4 linked regions of the Schizosaccharomyces pombe genome follow. The protein of the gene in region 4 interacts with the protein of the main gene of each other region in a biochemical or structural test. Each region holds a gene or a part of one and is shown on either strand. Other genes may lie near its edges.

Region 1 (5,814 bases), on a different chromosome or scaffold from region 4:
TCGTTTTTCAATAGCGCTGCCACGATCCGACTTCCAATTTCTTCGTCTTTCATACTCATTTCTAGCCCTAATTTCGGATCTACCTCCTTTTGCAATATAGTGTGAACGGTTTGAACATCTTTCTTCTGAATATACAATTCGATATCATACACATGAATACTTAGAAAAGAAACATATCGCGGTCCTGAACCTAACAAAAATAGTTCATCCTCATTATTAATTCTTTTTTGAACTAATCCTTCGTATGTTTGTTGAATTGTCTTGGTGACACTCTCACAGTATAGAGGGCGAGTTTGATACATGGCATTTATTGTTGCTACTGAGCTCCAAAAGACCAATCCTGGTCGTTTCGATAACCAATTCTTGCAAAATTGATAAGCAAAAAAACGAGTACCAAACATGTTGTTTAGTTTAAATACACACACACAGATATTAGCCGGTTGGTATTGGATCACATGTTTTTCCAAGAGATCCTAGATTTTAAGGAGGTGCGCAAAAACAACTAACAATGTTGAAACATACGGTTATTATATAGTGAAAAAATTAATTAATTAATTAATCGTCTAATTTCTAAAGAGTAGACTGTTATTTTCTAGTATAAGTCTTTGAGTTTAATTTTAAGTATTCCTATCCATTCGTAATAAGAAAAAATGTCAGTCTATATATCCCATTGTCCGCCGTATCCCAAAATAAATAAAACGACTATTTTAAACCAATAGCTCTCATAAAAGTCTCTTTGAACTCATCATAGTCAACAATGTCAAGGCCATTAACTGGCGTCAATTCATTTTTAAGCTCGTGAATCAATACGAACCTTCTATATTTATCATAATTTTTTTTCTGGTACAATTGTAGAGTGCTGGCTAAAGATACATCAGCGCTATCATCGATCACAATATCCCAATCCTGATACAAAGTCACGTTCTTCAGCGCTGGGTTGGTCAGGTAGCGCTGGAGTGTATTCAATAAGTTTTGAATTTCCAAGAGACTTTTGTCTGGATTGTTTGTTACAAAATAGCTCTTGACCATATCCACAATTGATGGGGGTAGAATTAAAATCCATGAATCTTTTTTAATCTCAAGAAATGGACTAATGAGTTCCAAAAGCCGTGGTGTTTTTATAAGTGCTGAGAGTGTAACAGATACCACCCCACCCTTAGGAAACATCGGTCTTAAGTACTGTGAATATGTCAACTTATCAAGGGGTTCATTGTTTTTCTTAAAGTCCGTACCCACGTGTGAATCATTAGGACTTTTGAGAGGGAGTGACAAACCAAATAAGAAAAATTTACAACTTTTCCTTTTCGCCAGTGTTAAAAATTGCAGTTGATCAAAATCATCCTCTAGTGAGACATTCAGGAAAACAAAAACATTCTGTGATAAAAACAAAGATTCCGGAATCTCGAGTCCTCGAAATGTCGGAATAGCAGCTTCTCTAAAAGTATCCTCCAATTCTTCTGCCTCCGGAGAAGGCTGTTTAGAGACAATTAAAATTTGTGTAGCTTGAAAAGCGCCTATTTTATGTAAATCGATGTGGCCTAATTGTAGTAAATAAGACAAGTAAGATTGGGATTTATGATATGGCTTTTTAGGCCTTAGATTTTTTGCCGACCATTCGACTAGGATTGATTCTAAAGGTTCAAAAATCACCATCCAAAAAGGGCTATTGCTTTGGCCTTGACAATCGTATAAATTCATTAAAGCATTATTATCCTCTGTAAATAATAATAATGTATAGTTACTACCCAGAACGATGCCAGCACCGTTGCCGCGGTTTAGTATATTTTTAAAGTGAGTCATATCAACATCGCTTCGAATACAAAGACTTCCGGAAAGAACTTTAGTCAAGCAAGTACCAAATACCTCGAGATATTGTGAAGTAACAAAACGTAAAACATCTACTTGCTTGCAACTGACTAAACTTCGTAACAACTGTTGATGTTCAGTTTCCGCCTTAAGCTTGGATATATCAAATGACAATTCTCCAGCATAGTAGAGAGATTTTCCGACTCGCAAAACGAATCTAAAATAATCAGACAATGTGCTTGCTGAAGAAAGATCTTCGGATTCGCTTATCGAATGGTGAAGAGAGTTATCCGAATTTAAAGTAATATTACCAGCCGGAACTACTTTGCTAGCTCCATCATTTTCAAAAGTTTGATCGCTTTTAGAAACACTGTTCCAGTCGTTATTAACAGTAGTCCAACTACTTCCGATAACACTTTTCTTAAGCTGCTTAGCATCTTCATTCGTCACGTTTACGTTGAAATCGAAATTTTCGTCCAGATCGACATTGCTAGCAAATTTTTCCGACTCAGAAAGGGTATCTGTTGTTGTTTGTGTAAAAGAAACGGACCTTGCATTTGCTTTCTTTGAAGGGGTTGTTTTTAAAATAGACTTTGAGACTTTACATTCTTCCATATCAGTTGATATCTTCCCTTTTACTAAAGTTACATGCCAACTTGGATGCCCTTTATCATACGCAAGTTTGGCTTGTTCGATAGAATCGAATTGAATGTAGGCCATATTACAAACTTTGTCTTTCTTTGGTGATTTGAGAAAAAAGACCTCAATATTTCCTTTGATAAAAGCAAAGTACGATAAAATATCTTGCTTCGTTAAAGAACCAGAATTATCACTAACTAATATCGTATGCGTTTCTAATTTCGGTGCTTCCTTTTTTATCTTCAAAGAGGAAGGAAGAGGAGTCGAATTGCTAAAAAATAATGAATTGGCAACATCATTATCGGAAGTTATTACTGGCGACAGACTTAAAGGGCTTGAATGCCTAAAGGTTGACAAGGGGGTGTTAGATTGTGGTGAATTCGCATTTTCAACAAAAGCGCCAGTATTTTCAAGATTGTTCGAATTTTGAATTCCGGGAACTGAGTTGTCAGAGTCACTGGGCATCAACATTGTGCTTTTAATTTCGCCATTTTTCAAAGGTATTGCATCGCTGGAGAGGCTTTTGGACAATAAAATACTGTCGGTAACTGTAGGCCACTCTGATAAGTAGAAAGGATTAACATCAGGGCTAGTTTCACCAAACGATGTGGATAGCGTGCTAGTTTTATCGGTCAAATTCCTCTCCTTCAATTCCCCTTGCATACTTTTTCTCTCAAACGCATCCTCATCCATTGTCTGATCGTCCTCTTCCTCTTCATCATTTGCGATGGTTACAATCCTTCGGGCAGGCTTCTTACGCATCTTTTTGAATTTTTCTTTGACTTTTTGAGATAATTGGGTAAGCTCGGATTTGCGCTTTTGTCTTTGTTGCCTCAATATCTCCTTTTCTCTCTTCATTTTCTTTGCCTCATTATCTTCCGCATCGAAAGGTTCAAGCAAGCCTTTAGCAATTAACTTTTTCCGTTTTTTCCATTTTTTAAGCACTTTTTCCGCACCGAATAAATTTTGTTCAGGTTCCCAAGTATTATCATACCAATCATAGCCAGCCCATTTTATATAATATTCGTTTATGCCATTTTTATTTACGCGGTCAGCAAGGATATCTTCCACCTCATAAACATCCGCGTCTGTCTCACCTTCATTCGAGTCAATATCAGGAAGTGGTTTAACAGATACCATTTCAAGGTAGCGGGTTTTTTGCTCACCTACGTGTCGCTAAGAGAGATTGAAGTATTACAACAAAAAAATATATAAAAGGATAAAGATATGAATTTAAAAAAAAAACGGAATTAAGCAAGATTGAATAGATTCCTTGACAAAACTATTAGCCAAAGTTCTTCCCTTTCAACTACTTTTATAGTTGCATGAAGGGCAGAGTATAACCTCTAAAATGGCTCAAATATTTCCCTTTTGCTTGTGATTTTTTTACCAATGGAACACAAGAATAACAACAGATAATTCCAGTAATGAAGCTTTTAGATGTTAGAATTTCGAAGTCTCGCTGCAATAAGCAAGATGGCTTATGCACTCGAATTTTGGAATCAAACAAAATCCGCGTGATTTTACCGTCGTGTCACCAACGCAAACCGTTAAATATACAAAAAAATAAGTTTTCGATTGGGTTTGGAGTTTTATTGCATTAATCAAGTGTGTGAGGTTGAGGTTGCAGATTTGAAGACACCTATGGAGACATATGTACTTTGAGAAAATACTCACTAACCACTAGTGTTACTAGTTGCATACATGAGGTACTAGTAGTCAAAAAACTTTGTTGGTAAATTGATAAATGTTTAAAATTTTCTCATTCCTCCTGAACTTCTAATTTTATTTTCTGGGTGGTTGTGTAAGTTAGAAAAACTTTAAACAAATAATGAATTTTGTTTTCAAAAAGCTACAATGAGTAGATTTTGAGCGCTGCAATTTATTAAACGATGCGTTTATACATAATACCTCTAAATGTGTTAACTCTATATAAACGAATTCAACACAACATATCATTCCAAAACTGGTAGTACAATAAGAAAAGTAAATAATTACTACGATAGAAAAAAATGATCGTGCCAAGACTCGAACTTGGGACCGTCTGCGAACTAGCATGTTAAGCAGAAATTATAACCATCTAAACCACACGACCTCTTTTGATAATTGCTTGCATTAATTTTATATAGAGGTTAACCAAGGGATCCATTTACTTATATTATTACGGAACTATGTTATTCGTTTTCCATGAAATGAACTTAATAAGAAAAACTGTTTATGTGCAGGATTTTTTTGTTTCTTGTTAACCCAAGATTTGCCAACGATAATTATTCGATGGATTACTCAAGTAACTTTCTGCATGAAGGATGCCTGCATGCCATGAGCAGCATCCAACATTGTATAACTTTTGCATAAAGAAAAAGATTTCAATTGAGCCGCCAATTTTATTCTTTCAAATTTTTAATTTCGATCATTGTGACCATTATAAAAGTGAGAAAAAGCTGCTGAAAAAACCGGAACTTAAAATATTCTTTCTTTGGCTAGATAACTTTGTAACTTGGAAATCAAAACATTGCTTTCAAAGAATTTCTACATCATTGTTTGATGCAGGACTAAAATGGGTATAGTACTGACTAATCGCACTGTAAAAACCCATACCAACCCGTCCATATCCAGTTTTGCGATTGGGTTCAATCGGTCATTCATATAATTGATAGTACTTGCATTCAATTGAGTACTTGCGCTTCTTTATATCAAAGGCATTTTAAAATGTTTACAAAATAGCGCTTTATAGTGAACAACAGCATAATGATTTTGATGATAGCAATCACTAAACGACACCAGCCTTCTCATGATTACGACATTCTTTGTAACGCAGTATAATTATTTAATGAATCATTGGAATGCGTTATATGCATTTTAACGGCCAGTGGCACTAGTGGACTTTTTTTTGTTACCATGATAAAGGATTATTACTTCCTTAGGTTTTCTGATATCCCTCTGCAACTTACCTACAACAAACTACGACTAAGTAAATTCTTCGACTATCGAAAGCAGGGTTCATTGTAATTTACAGGTATATACCTTGATATTATTTGACCTTAAATATTTGTTAACAAAAATTGTTCGTAGATTTACCGATAGAGAACTTAGCCATGTGTCAAGAGGACGAATACGATTATTTGTTCAAGACTGTGCTGATTGGGGATAGTGGTGTTGGAAAGTCAAACCTACTTATGCGTTTCACTAGGAATGAATTTAATATCGAAAGCAAGAGTACTATTGGTGTTGAATTTGCTACTAGAAATATTGTTCTTGACAACAAAAAAATTAAAGCACAGATCTGGGATACTGCCGGTCAGGAACGTTATCGGGCCATTACCTCAGCTTATTACCGTGGTGCTGTTGGTGCTCTGATTGTTTACGATA
Region 2 (3,525 bases), 3.0 Mb from region 4:
GCGATTGTATTCGGAAAAGGCTTTTGGCTGTAAATCTCCTTAGGAAACGCTAATTTGATATTGGTATTTCAGCATTACCTTCTGCTTTGGTTTGTGAAAAACGAATCTGAATGCAATCATAGTTTTGATTTATACAATTTGAGTTTCAGAAATGTACAATTTTTTAGAGATTGTAGGCACTGTAAAAGCGTTGAACGAGTTGATATTTGACAGTTTCAAGCTGAATTTGATGTGCTATACATAAACAAAAAGCATGGCAGTGGCGCAAACTCAAATTTTCCTTTCAAAGAATATTTTGTTTAGCTACCAAAATCTTTTACCTGGTATCTTGACCTTGGTTTTAATGCTTTATTAAAATATGAAACCAATACAGCACTTTATGCAACTTTATAGCTGACCTTGAATAGAATAAAATACTGCAATTTTTTGAGTTTTACAACACAGTCTACATTCTGCATTTTTTGTGAGGAATATGTGCATCGGGTGCAACATTTCTAAGAAAAGCTTACAAAAAAACTGTAAAAATTTTAGCTGAATCTTATAGTTCTATCTTAGTAACCCACTCGTAATTCTAATTATTAAGTCCAAAGATCAACATTATGTAAATTTAATATGAGCCTCGTAATATTCAATAATTTTAAGAGGACATTTTTGGTGAATTATTATGTTATCGTGAGTTGAGACGTAACCATTTTTCCACTTTATTTTTGCAATTAGTTTACCATTATCAAGTTGTTGAACCGTTTTAACACAATCAACCAAATCTTCCCAGCTTTTCTTCTGAAAAGGAGGTTTAAAATTTTTTGAAGATTTATCAGATTTCATATATTTCTCAATTTTGCTTTGCTTTTCTTTCATAGAAGATTCAGATAAATCCGAGTCGACATAATCCGTAATACGATTTGCTGCATTCCTGCTTCTCCTTCTTTTATAAGATATAGAGTCATCAGAGTTTGAACTCTCATCTTTCTCAACATAGGAAGCTTCATTCGAAGATCGTGCGCGGCTTCGCGTCAATCGTATTAAAGACGAAAGATCTGGTTTACCTCCTCTAGATTCCCAGTATGCGTCTATTAATTCCAGACAGCCCGCACAATCTTCTTCATCATTCCATGTATTATCGGAAGGGTCATCGTACCCTTCCCATTTCAAATAATATTGGAAGCCTGATCCATCCTACATGGTTAGCAAGACAAGTATTAATGTTGCGCACCTTTTTCATCCTACTATCTAGAATCATTTCCACGGCGAATTCTTCATCTGAATTTTTATCTTCACTACCAGAACTAGCAATATACTCAAACCCTTCATTCAGAGGAACGGGTGATTGAGAGTTATGATCATCAGAACCACTAGTCTTTTCGAAATTTGAAGAAACAGAAGCAGAAGATGAACTTTTAAATTCGTTTTTGTAACTAGAAGATTCATCCTCTTCTTTTTTATCTTCAGAGTCTTCCATGTTAGAGATTGGAGACAATTTGGAACTTTTGACTTTTCTTATTTCACAACTGAACGACACATTGTGAGTCTTCTGAGACCCTGAATTTCCATGACTGTATAAGTCTAAAGAATTTTGAATATGGGTTTTTTCGGGAACACTAAGACCGTAAAGCGAAGGATGCCATGAACCATTTTGAGGACTTTCCAAACTCGCTGTCGAAGACTTATTGTTAATTGAATTTTCGGCTTCTTCAACAGTGAATGGTGGAGGACTAAAATTTTCATCACTTTCACTGATTATACTATTCATTAGGTCAAGGTCGGCACTTTTGACCATTATTAAGACTTTCCAGATATACCAACATAAATTATTAACCCTTCATATATCAATTAAAAATTTAATAAAAAATATTCTGCTCTAATTAATTTGATGCTGGTTATGCAATAATATTGCTGCTTATATGTTTATTTCGACGGATTCATTGATATTTTCTCCTCCCTTTATAAATACAGTTTTAAAAGATCCGCCAAGAAAAAGTATTTTGAATATAATTGACAGTTTTTATATATTGTGAAAGGACAACGGAAATTTTAGGTAAGGTTTATCACAAAGCGATTTACAATCCAGAAGTAGTATTAAGTGCAAGTCCTGCAATGTATTGGTTCAACTAAATATGAATACAGTATTAAAATAATAACCAATTTAGAATCGAAGTTCAAAAAAATTTGAAGATAAAGTGCTGTGCATAAAAATAACATACATGTAAAGGGTTAGGATGCTCAAGGTCCCATAATACGCTTGTCTTAAACAAATCTACCTATTGTTAAGGCAAGTAAGGGATGTATTAAAAGTGTTCATAGTTTTTCTGGAAAACTAAAAAATTGTAAATATATTATAAATCTTTTTTGTAAGCAATATTTAAAAGAAAGTATTATTTCATTTCTTTAAAACTTGTAATTAAAGATCTATCTACTATGCTTGGTTAATCAACAGAAAATATAGATATCAAGCTTCATGCAATAGCAAATATTGTGAAAACCAATTACTACCAAGTACTTTTTTTTGATATTCTATGAATTTCCTAGATACGTAAAGTGTATAACGATCTGACTTCCGTAGAGTTATCGATCTAATAATCGCTTAATTTATAAGTAGATATAAAAGCTAAACGGAATAGGTTGCCGATCCACGAATATTGAAATTATAGGGTATAATCAATTTAGAGCTGGATCAAATGTCCAAGCCAGCGATAACTGTTTTTTTATTAAATATTAGCAGACCAAAAGCAGCTTTGCAGCTTTGTTAAAAAAATTCGAGCTCAAAAGAATCATTATGAAAGTGGCTAATTTTGTTTTTGGTATTGAAACACCCATGAATCAAGCCATTTACGTCTCGTCCATTCATCAACGCTAAGGCTTTTATCTCCGTATGTCATTGGAGCGAAAAAGGTGAAACAATAAATAACGACAAAAATGAGTAGTAATGTACAGATGAGCTCTATTACATGACCGTATTTTCTATGACATTTGGAATGTCCTTTTTCATCGACATCTTTAGGAATCGGAACTCCTGCGGACACGGGTGATCGGAAGGATTTGCGACAGGCTAACTGTATAAATGCGCCTACAAGCAAGGAACCTGCCAAATGAGCAGGAAGATAATGGTGTAAAAACAATTGACGACCCATGATAAAGAATGGAAGATAATGAAAGACATAAGTCATGTAGAAAAACATAGTGGAACGGTAAAAGTGGTTACGGACAGTTTCAGGTAAAGTACGAATACCTCTTTGGCGAAGCAAAATTTCAGCTGCAGCGACCACCGTCGTACTCAAAACAGTACCGGCAATGATCCACCAACCGATAGGATTTCCCAATAAATATATTTGCTTGTTTTCCTCACTTTTAGCCCAAAACGCAATACCGTGGTGCAAAGTAAACCAATCAGAAGGATTAGAACTGTATGGATGAAACTCGGTTAACATATTATTTTGTCTAAACATTGTGAGTTGTAGCTCCAAATATTTTTTCCAAAATGGTAGTTTTTTAGGAATTTTTTTTTCCTTCTTCAATCGGCTATCTTTA
Region 3 (6,473 bases), 910 kb from region 4:
TCTTGGAAGAAGTGTAAATATTAAAAGGAAATTTCCAATTCAAAGATGTGGAAAGCATTAAAAAACATCCTTCCATTCTATTGAAAATTTTAAACAATTTGAAAATACCTCGAGTTTGGATTTGCTTTTTTGAAACTAGCGTTCGTCAAAAATAATAAGTAAATAAATAAAAATTTAAAATCTCGTAAAATTCTTACCAATTAAAACCTACTTAGTTTTTAAGCAAAACAAATGAGCAGAATAGTTAAACAACATTTAATTTTTATAAAAAAAGGAACTAATGGTGACAATCATGTATAAAGTCAATGAAAAATATGGCTCATCTGTTGTTGTTAAACAGATTTCAACTCAAATGAAAATTTTAGGATGGTAGTCGCAATTAGAAATTAAAGACAAACACTTAATTGTAAAATCTCTCAATACTATATAGTTCATTCAATCGCAGACAGCTCGATTCCAGAAGAATGTATATGTTTTGATACGAATGAGCGAATACAAGATTTAATGGCCGTTGAAGATTTTATTAATAAGAATGAATTAGTAGAAATTTTTTAACATTTAAAAAGTAAATTCTATGTATTTTCCCTTTTCTATTGATGTCCATCGTTTGTTTGTATATTAGGTAGTCGATTTGTTTGTTTACATTCTCGCCAACAATTGGTATTCAAATAACCAGCTTGGCGCAGACTTTTCCTCTACCACAAATATTTACAGCATAAAAAAAATCCAAAATTGAGAGCCTAACTGTTGTTTTCGACTTCTTATCATGTCTTATGAGGGCCGTGAAGAACGACCTGAGCAGATTGCTGAACCTACTTTCGAAAATGTGTCGGAACACAATGAACATGATTCGGGATCTGCTGAGGCCCAGGTGGAGACACTGGAGGTGCCATTGAGCAACGAAACCGACAATGATGATGCCACTGAAAACGCTGTTCCTGCAGAAGTACAAGCACCTGAGGAACCCAAGGAGCCTGAAACAGTCGACAATATCGATCCTGCAGATGATGATCCAAACAGCGTGGCAGCTCCCAAGGTTGAAGAAAAAAAATCCAAGAAGAAAGCCAAGGATGAAAAACCATTGACCTACACCACTGGTGGGTATTTATACTGTCGATCCAACGGACTTATTCCGTAAGTCAAAACAGCATCCATTTATTAAAAATCAAACAATCGATTGAGTAATCTTACTAACCACATGTAGTCATGTCATGAAAAGGTATTTTTATATGCTAGAAGGCCCTATGTCTATGGATTTATTAGACCATTATTATAAAAAACACTTCCATGGTACTTTGCAAGGTAACCCAACGGAACCTTCCTTAGCTTCTGAGCAAATGCACGACTCTGATGCTGATTCCCTCTTCCAGTCTGCTAATGATCACCTTAACCGTATCGCTAAAGCTACTCAAGACTGCCGTGGTTTACTCTTTTACTCCAAATCTCAATCAACTAGTGTCCCAAGCGGAATCATTAATTTGGTAAGAATTCCTAATTCCCCTGATTTTTAGTTTTAACCGTGCTAACTGTATTTTCAGACTGATGCAGTATCCATAGAACCCGGTACTGGAAACAAATTCACCATCAATTTTAACAATGGTAAATCAGAAACACTTGAAGCCCTAGACCCAGAAAGTAAAAATACATGGATTACTGATCTCAAAAATGCCATTGCTAAGAAAAAGGAAACCAAAGATAAAATTAAAGAGCTTCGTGCTTACAATGACACGCTTAAAAGACTCGGCAAGTTAGCAGCTCGTTCAGGTCCTTCAGCAAGTGAAACATTTCGTTATTTCCTTCCAATGCTTTCTAACGGACGGGACGCGAAAAAGTCATCTAGTAAATCTCATGGCGGAAAACAAAACAATTCTGTTGCCAAAGACGGTCTTTTTGACTTTTTTCAAAACATGATTAAGGGGAAAACTCCGCAAAACGATACGGCTAGTCCCATTGATAATGAAACGTCAGCTGACCCGGTTGATACTACTGTTGAAGCACAATCAGTCGAAGTTCCTGAGAATGAAACTAACCAAATTCCCACCACTGAAGAACATTTTCCTGCTACTACGGAAGAAGTGGCTCCCGCATCAGAAGAAAAACCAGCCACAGGTCCGGCAGAAGAATCAACATCAACTCAAAATGTTGAGCAAGCTTCTACTCAAAATGATAACGGAACCCCCATCGGTCAAATAGCAGACGCCATTGAAGAAGATGTTAAAGGTACAGCCCAATCAGTTGAACAAGCTTTCATAGAAGAGACTGATATTGCACTTCCTGATATAGCACTTCCCGATGTTGCGACCCCTACTGCAGACGATCAAGACCCTTCCACTGCAGCTACTAATGAAGAGAGTGTTGTCAGCAATGAAGATAGAACGTCTAAGAAAGCCGGAAAAAAGCATCATCGGCATCATAAGAAGAAAAAAGGAGGCAACAAGAGAGTATTCGGCTTTAAGCTTCACAAGTATGCTAAACCTACCAAAAGTGTTAAAACTTTACAGGCAGATCCTTCCCTTGAATTTGCTAAGGCAGGATTTGAGATATTTCCTTCCAACCTTTCAAAGAAGCTCTCAGGTTTGGTGCAAAAAAAAGTGCATAAGAAGTTTGATAAAGACGGGAGACTAAAAGAAATTTCCCAGTTCTCAAAAACCACAATAAAACCGGAAACTCCCTTAACTCCTACAACAACTCCAACGCCTCGAACAGCTGCACAAGAAGACCCAGCTGAAGAAACAACTGATGCCCTCGCCTCAGCAGAAGGAGAAAACAATCAGATGCCCCAGGTGCTCGAAACAGAAGCAGCTCCTTCTATAGCTTCTGAAGGACGGTCCATTACCGTTAACGCTTAAACGCCCTTTTTACTTCACATGTGCGCAGCAGATGAAAAGAGTTTTTCCATTAACGCTAGGCTTTACAACAATTACTATAATGCTTTCAACAAGTGTAAAAAATATAAGCACCGATATGTTTTACCGATAATTGTTCGGCAAATCCCACAGGTCAGATAATATACATAATCTCGTTGCTTAGAAAATGAATGACCTTTTTCAGTTTAACAGTAATGGAGAAAAACAAATTGTAATTATTGGAGTCAACCAGTAATAAATTAGCTTAACCGAAAAGCCAGCCACGACAATTAGCGGAACCACATTTGCACTGCCGGCGAAGTTTTGAAATTCTATTTTGCTGAGATTTTTGAGATTGAACAGGTGAGAAATCTTTTGCACCAGCGTAATCAAATGTAAGCTCCTCTAGAGGCTGAATGTCTTTGATGGCAAAAAAAGCGAGATCATAAATGGTTCGAAATCCATGGTTCCGAACAGCAGAATAAATAGCTATATTAGGTGAACAGGAGTGGTTAAAAAAACGAGAGACATCTCCATAGTTCTGAGCATCCACTGTATACTCGCTAGCATCATCAAACATGTCTAAATCAAATAAATAGGTAATACCGTCGTCGTCATAATTTTTGTCACGCTTGGCGGCCTCTGCTGAAGTTATGACTTCTCCTAAATAGCAAGTGATAAACGTGCCAGCAGGGGCAAATCGAAGCGAACGTACACCCCATCCTTTTTCTTTTGTTTTAAATATTTCAAGCGGAAGAGTTCTACCACGTTGAACAACGCGATTAGGACACTCCATTGAACAAGAACAAAAAGAGTTGCATTCATATATAACGGCACCCGTATCTGCACGGACCCGCCCCTGTGCATCATAGGCAAAATGAGTTGGCTCATCCAAATCATCTAAACACTCACAACGAGAAGGATTGTTAAGGTCACAACCGCCAAGGGACGAGCAATTGCATCCAGATTGAAAATTTGGATCAGGCGGGATAACACCTTGTGTTAAGCGGTACTGGCTAATGAATTGAAAATCTAAAGATGGACAGGGTTCATCGTCAACTTCATTGACAAGCGTTACTTCGGGTCCTTCAATTTCCCGCAGTTTCTTACGAAATAGCTCTCTCTTTTCGTAAAAACTTAGATGGGTATAAGAGTCAAGTTTGGAAGGGTTTCGCGGTTTTGTGAGAATTGAAGATGTTTTGGGGGATGTAGCTTCTTTAATAGAATTGGAAACTAGTTCTCTTTTTTGAGATTCCTCCTTCACTTCATTTCTCGTCTTCCCCAGCTTCTTTGAATTTGTATGAAGACTATCGTCTAAAATGATACTAGTATCATTCGTCGTCAGAGCGGTGGATTGTTTTCGAGATTGTCTCTTGGTAGTTTGAGAAGAAAAAACCTTTTTATTTTCCTTTTTTACATTCAATTCCCGCGAAAATCTTTGAGAACGAGGCACTGACTTTGAAGTTTGATGTTGGTGCTTTTGTCTACTGTTTGGATGTGGATTGCTCGCATGGTGCGGTGAATCCGAGTCGGAGTTACTTCCCTTTAGTCTCCTCTTCCGCCTTTTCCATTCTGCTAAAACGGCAGAACATCCAGAAAGGTTCTCAGGGGGCTCCCAAGTATCACTTCTAGATGAATAGTTCAACCATCGAATGCGATATAGTTTGACAGCTCCATTACGATCCAATTTTTCGTCCACAATCCTTTCAACTTCATACTCCTCTTGTTTAGGCGACATTCGCAAAACTAATAACCTCTTGTTTGGTGAGATGATTTTTAGCAAACCCTCCAAATGATGCCTGAACGAATTTAAAAAATAAAATAAGGAGAGGGTTTATGTTAATATGACAATTGCTAAAGGACTAAAATAATAGACGACCGCGAACTCAGAATATAAAACTGAATGTTTTTTAGTAATGAGCAATAAATATATAAAGTCGATGTGTTCAATTTCAGAGCAAAATTGAAGCTCTGAAATTTGAAAAAGGTATCAAGTACAAAGTAATTTTAAAGTTATAATATACAAATCAACTTTCAAACAACAATCCAAACTAGCAATGCCAATTCATGTTATAACAGTTTGTATTTCGACCAGGTTGTTGAATCGCACTCCTTTACAGAAGTCAAAATTTAAAGAAACGGAGAATCGCCCCGTAAAGGAAATACGGTGTTAACAACACACTGCTCTAATGAAGAACACGTAACGTATCACTATATGTCATATGTTAGGATATTACTTTAGAGCAGTTTATTGATAAATGCGCAAAACCATTTTCATATTTACATAGACGCTGGCTAATGAAGACTAAAAAGATTATAAATTGAGCTGCAACTGAACTGAGGAATGAACTTCAGTTATAAGCTATATTAGTTATAGGTCACAATGCAATCTAGATAATTTAATACCTATACTCAATTGCTACTTGTAATACCTGTGTATTGTAATACGTTAACAAGGAAAAATTACCGCAGTTCTATGTTATCGTTAAAGCAGATACCAAACTGCGTAGCTGACTTTGTATCAGTGTGCAGCACGGAGTCTAACCCATCTGTGTCTAAATAAGAAAGTTGAGCGTTTTTAAAAAACAATAGTATGTTCAATTGCTCTATAATAATAAAAGAAATGAAACAACAGTAAGATTGTCCATAGAAAAACTTTTTACACAATTAGTCGCATCGCCATTTTTATAATGATTAAAAACTATTATATTTGACTATCGGGTTTTGATTTCGGTACAAAGAATGCCTATAAACAAGCTTCTCGCAAAATTAATAAAGTAAGGAACCAAATACCTTTGCATTCGAGCATTCATTTTTTAATAATGGTTAAACTTGAGCTCATTAGATAAACAAGGTCAATTAAAAAAGATTGAGTCTCCAGCCAACTTTCAGAACGCGATAACCCATAACCCATTCTAGAAGCACATGTTGGTATTTGGTTTTTTCGCTTGTTAATTTTGAATGACAATGGAGAAGTCATGTACTCCATTTCTGGATAAATTTTCTGCAGGCTCTAAAGGTTGATTAACAGTAGCCAATCCAAAATGTTGCTAATTTGGTTCAATTTTGAATTGCAAATCGGTGGTGCCAACATGCCTTAAAAAGTTCCATTTAAATTTAAACTTTGAAAAAATGAATAAAGAAAACAAAAAACCATACATGCTTTGACCCATATCTCTAGTGCTTCTTAATACTCTATGTGAAAGCTCCCTTGATAATTGTCGATCTCAATTAGATGGTGCGATAAATTCACCAGACTACAAACTCAAAATTTGATTGCAGAATACCTACTGTACATTAGATATATTTTTTGAACGAAGCCTTTAATCCTATCCCTTCATACCATAAACAAAAAAACAAAGCCCAATATAACATGCCAGGGATTCAATATTACCAATGATGCCTCTAGTGAATGAGAATGAAATTTCAGATCCATATACTGTGCACAAAAGATTCAACAAATACACTTTGAATGTAACTAATATTGTAGCCACCATACCGGGTTGCGAAATTTTCAATGTGGAATAGGCCATACCGAAGACAAAATCTCTGTATATATTTACGATTTTTCAATTGTATTTCTTGCTTTTAATCTTGCTTTATTATTTATTATTTGAAGTGTGAAAG
Region 4 (3,100 bases):
ATGCAAAATGATGAATTCACTGATGAGTCTGTAAATTTTGAAAATCGCTGGAAGCAGGAACTAAAGACTCCCATATCTCGATTTTCCAAGTTTCTGCGGCCTATACCTCCTAATACCCGTTGACATTTACGATTGACGGAGAGAGTTAGTTCTCTTTTTTTTTATCTAACCATTTGAAATGAGTTGAGAGTATATTGATAAACCTTTAGATATGTATAATATAATAGTCATTGCTTTGAAAAGTTTAATACATAGTCGAAAATTCGTGTAACAGTAGCATCAATAATCCTGCAACACATTACAAGTACGTGTGGAATACTTAAAAAAAAAAAAAAAAAACTTTAAGCAGGAAGTGAACGCTTCACTTGATAATTTTAAAAGGACTTTACCAAATCGTTAGGAGAGTAATGCTCCATAAGATGTTCAAAGCAAGTACTACGACTTACAGTAGCAGGCGGTCAAACAAATTTAAAAAAAAAATTTTTTTCTTACAATGAAAAATTTACAAAAATGAAATACGTATAATAAAAAAAAAACTATTTAAATTAATAAAAACAGATTAACAAAGGAAAAAAAATTAAAAACTACAAAGCTTTAAAACAGTGTTTCAGAATAAGTCAAGTGAGAAAGCAAAAACATAAAAATTAATATGCTAAACCCGACATTAAACCAAGGAAATATACATGACAATGATTGAAAAAATTAGGAAATGCAAAACTTAAACCCAATAAACACAATATACCAAATAAAATATTAGGCAATCAATGCATTTAAGAGCGTTCGCCACGAAGACGACGGGCCAATTGCATATCCTTGGGTTGAATGGTAACACGCTTGCCATGGATAGCGCAAAGATTGGTATCTTCGAAGAGAGAGACAAGATAAGCCTCGACAGCTTCTTGAAGAGCACCAATTGCGGAGGATTGGAAACGCAAGTCAGTCTTAAAATCTTGGGCAATTTCACGGACCAAACGTTGGAAGGGAAGTTTGCGAATCAACAATTCAGTAGACTTTTGGTAACGACGGATTTCACGAAGAGCGACAGTACCAGGACGATAACGATGAGGCTTCTTGACACCGCCAGTAGCGGGAGCGGCCTTACGGGCAGCCTTAGAGGCCAATTGCTTACGGGGTGCCTTACCACCGGTAGATTTACGAGCAGTTTGCTTGGTACGAGCCATAACGTAATTCGGTAAATAAACTTACAAAAAGGTTCTTTCCACGTCGGGTGTGGACACTTCCTGCTATATATACCTCAGTCAATCACAACCCTAACCCTGATTTAAGATTGCGATTTCGGCTTCCCCGCTACCTGAAAAAATGTATATATATATGGAGATGGACGCCTAACTACAGCACTTACACAGTAACTACTACGACTAGTACGAGAAGCCATTGAAATTCAAATCATAGGAATTTCAGTGTTTGCGCTTGAAAATTAGTTTTTGATATTGTAAATTGATCAATTGGTAGTCAGTTTGTTTGAACTTACAGGAATCCCATTACTCATATAAGATGTCTGGTCGTGGAAAAGGTGGTAAAGGATTGGGAAAGGGTGGTGCTAAGCGCCATCGTAAGATCCTTCGTGATAACATTCAAGGTATTACTAAGCCTGCCATTCGTCGTCTTGCTCGTCGTGGCGGTGTTAAGCGTATTTCTGCTTTGGTTTACGAAGAGACTCGTGCCGTTCTCAAGCTTTTCTTGGAAAACGTTATCCGTGATGCAGTTACCTACACTGAACACGCCAAGCGTAAGACTGTCACTTCCTTGGACGTTGTCTACTCTTTGAAGCGTCAAGGCCGTACCATTTATGGTTTCGGTGGTTAAACTGGTTGCACACTTTTCGATATTGAAGTGAATTGTATTTTCTTTTTCTTTTTTTCCTACTTTGCATATTAATAGTTGTTTCTCTTTTTATCTTTACTCATTTCTCTTTTAATATCCATTCAATGAATATTTATTTGCACGAAAATGGTTGGTTTTCCTTGAAGAAATGCAATTTTATTGAAGGGATTTGTTTTTCTTTCATTATGGATTGCACGTCTGAGAAATTTTTACCCAACCTTGTGTCTGACTTACTCTGGGAGTAAGCTCTGTTTTTAGAAATAAATAAATAAATTGTTTTTATCTAACATTTATGGGGGGGAGGACAAGAAAACACACAAATTTAGCCTGTAGTTATCACGTTTCATTAATGTATGTTTGGAAGGTTGGAGTCATATCATAACTATGCTAATATATTGTAGGCTTCAATTTGAGAAAAAATTGGGCACGAACCCATCTATTTATATTATACAAAGAGAACTCTACAAGCTGATTGTAAGGTAAATGTACTGAAAGCAAGCTGTCTTCTTTTCCCAACAGGGAAACTCATCTGTGCGTGAATTTATTACTCACGTATTGTGGCTATAATTTTTGATAAACGATGTGACTGTATTTTAAGGAAAAGCGGATTCTCGAAGCAAATTTTTCAGCTGAGTATCTTAGTGTATCGGTAGGTGAAGCAAAACTGGATGTCTTTGGTACACTGTCGCCAATAGCGATAGACGGGCATTTGGCAAACCGTTTTATCACTCTGTCGGAATTGAGAAGCGTAAAGAGTGAAATTTCGCTTTCATCTCGAAATAGCCCACGTCCTCCTACTAATTTATGAACTTCCATAGCCAAGCAAATGAAACAATCAAATAATAATAAAGAGAGCAATGTCAGATAGAGAAATGTGGCAATTATGCAATTGCGGAAGTTCAAATCAAATTAAACAAGCTTCTGCTCTTTTCCGTTCAGTCTGTTAACATACGTGATTAATAAAAGCGATGAACAACAGGAACATATGCAGCGATTTTCAATAAAAATGCCACCATTTTTGCTCTATGATATTAATAATATGAAATAGAAAGTATATACACAGATTATTAGTACATTGAAACAGTGTTTATTAGATTTTTACACTACTGAATTATACTTTTCTTATTTACTTAAAAGGTTTTTGTTCGTTAGTTTTTAAATTAAAATAACTTTTCTTTCTTTTATTTTTATTTACCCTTTTTTAATACTTGCTCTTTCACTTGATTTTGTCTTCAACACACTTTAGCCGTTTCAC

The links.
Region 1: the proteins of hht2 (region 4) and chp1 interact in a test that uses a peptide from one of them, tested with the Schizosaccharomyces pombe proteins (3 studies listed by BioGRID, with this or other methods).
Region 2: the proteins of hht2 (region 4) and chp2 interact in a test that uses a peptide from one of them, tested with the Schizosaccharomyces pombe proteins (2 studies listed by BioGRID).
Region 3: the proteins of hht2 (region 4) and clr4 interact in a test that uses a peptide from one of them, tested with the Schizosaccharomyces pombe proteins (one study listed by BioGRID).

Annotation. Positions count from the first base shown.
Region 1 is NC_003424.3:2,210,275-2,216,088, forward strand, and holds chp1 (heterochromatin (HP1) family chromodomain protein Chp1), read right to left. Parts: upstream 4,072-5,814; 5' UTR 3,586-4,071; coding exon 703-3,585; 3' UTR 536-702; downstream 1-535. Other genes in the region: aim18 (chalcone related protein), read right to left, coding at 1-401; Rab11 family GTPase Ypt3, read left to right, coding at 5,541-5,814. UniProt on the Schizosaccharomyces pombe protein: Component of the kinetochore which plays a role in stabilizing microtubules and so allowing accurate chromosome segregation. Has a role in the RNA interference (RNAi) pathway which is important for heterochromatin formation and accurate chromosome segregation.
Region 2 is NC_003423.3:4,348,247-4,351,771, reverse strand, and holds chp2 (heterochromatin (HP1) family chromodomain protein Chp2), read right to left. Parts: upstream 1,778-3,525; coding exon 1,214-1,777; exon of another isoform or gene 1,177-1,213; coding exon 598-1,176; 3' UTR 528-597; downstream 1-527. Other genes in the region: ER membrane O-mannosyltransferase Ogm4, read right to left, coding at 2,784-3,525. UniProt on the Schizosaccharomyces pombe protein: Component of the kinetochore which plays a role in stabilizing microtubules and so allowing accurate chromosome segregation.
Region 3 is NC_003423.3:453,464-459,936, forward strand, and holds clr4 (histone lysine H3-K9 methyltransferase (Suv39) Clr4), read right to left. Parts: upstream 4,948-6,473; 5' UTR 4,585-4,947; coding exon 3,112-4,584; 3' UTR 2,850-3,111; coding exon of another isoform or gene 1,539-2,849; 3' UTR 1,482-1,538; coding exon of another isoform or gene 1,205-1,481; 3' UTR 1,135-1,204; coding exon of another isoform or gene 767-1,134; 3' UTR 533-766; downstream 1-532. Other genes in the region: pleckstrin homology domain protein Meu6, read left to right, coding at 767-1,134, 1,205-1,481, 1,539-2,849. UniProt on the Schizosaccharomyces pombe protein: Histone methyltransferase which contributes to the establishment of heterochromatin by specifically methylating histone H3 to form H3K9me. Part of the Clr4 methyltransferase complex (ClrC).
Region 4 is NC_003423.3:1,363,239-1,366,338, reverse strand, and holds hht2 (histone H3 h3.2), read right to left. Parts: upstream 1,221-3,100; 5' UTR 1,182-1,220; coding exon 771-1,181; 3' UTR 521-770; downstream 1-520. Other genes in the region: protein Sfi1, read left to right, coding at 1-123; hhf2 (histone H4 h4.2), read left to right, coding at 1,516-1,827. UniProt on the Schizosaccharomyces pombe protein: Core component of nucleosome. Nucleosomes wrap and compact DNA into chromatin, limiting DNA accessibility to the cellular machineries which require DNA as a template.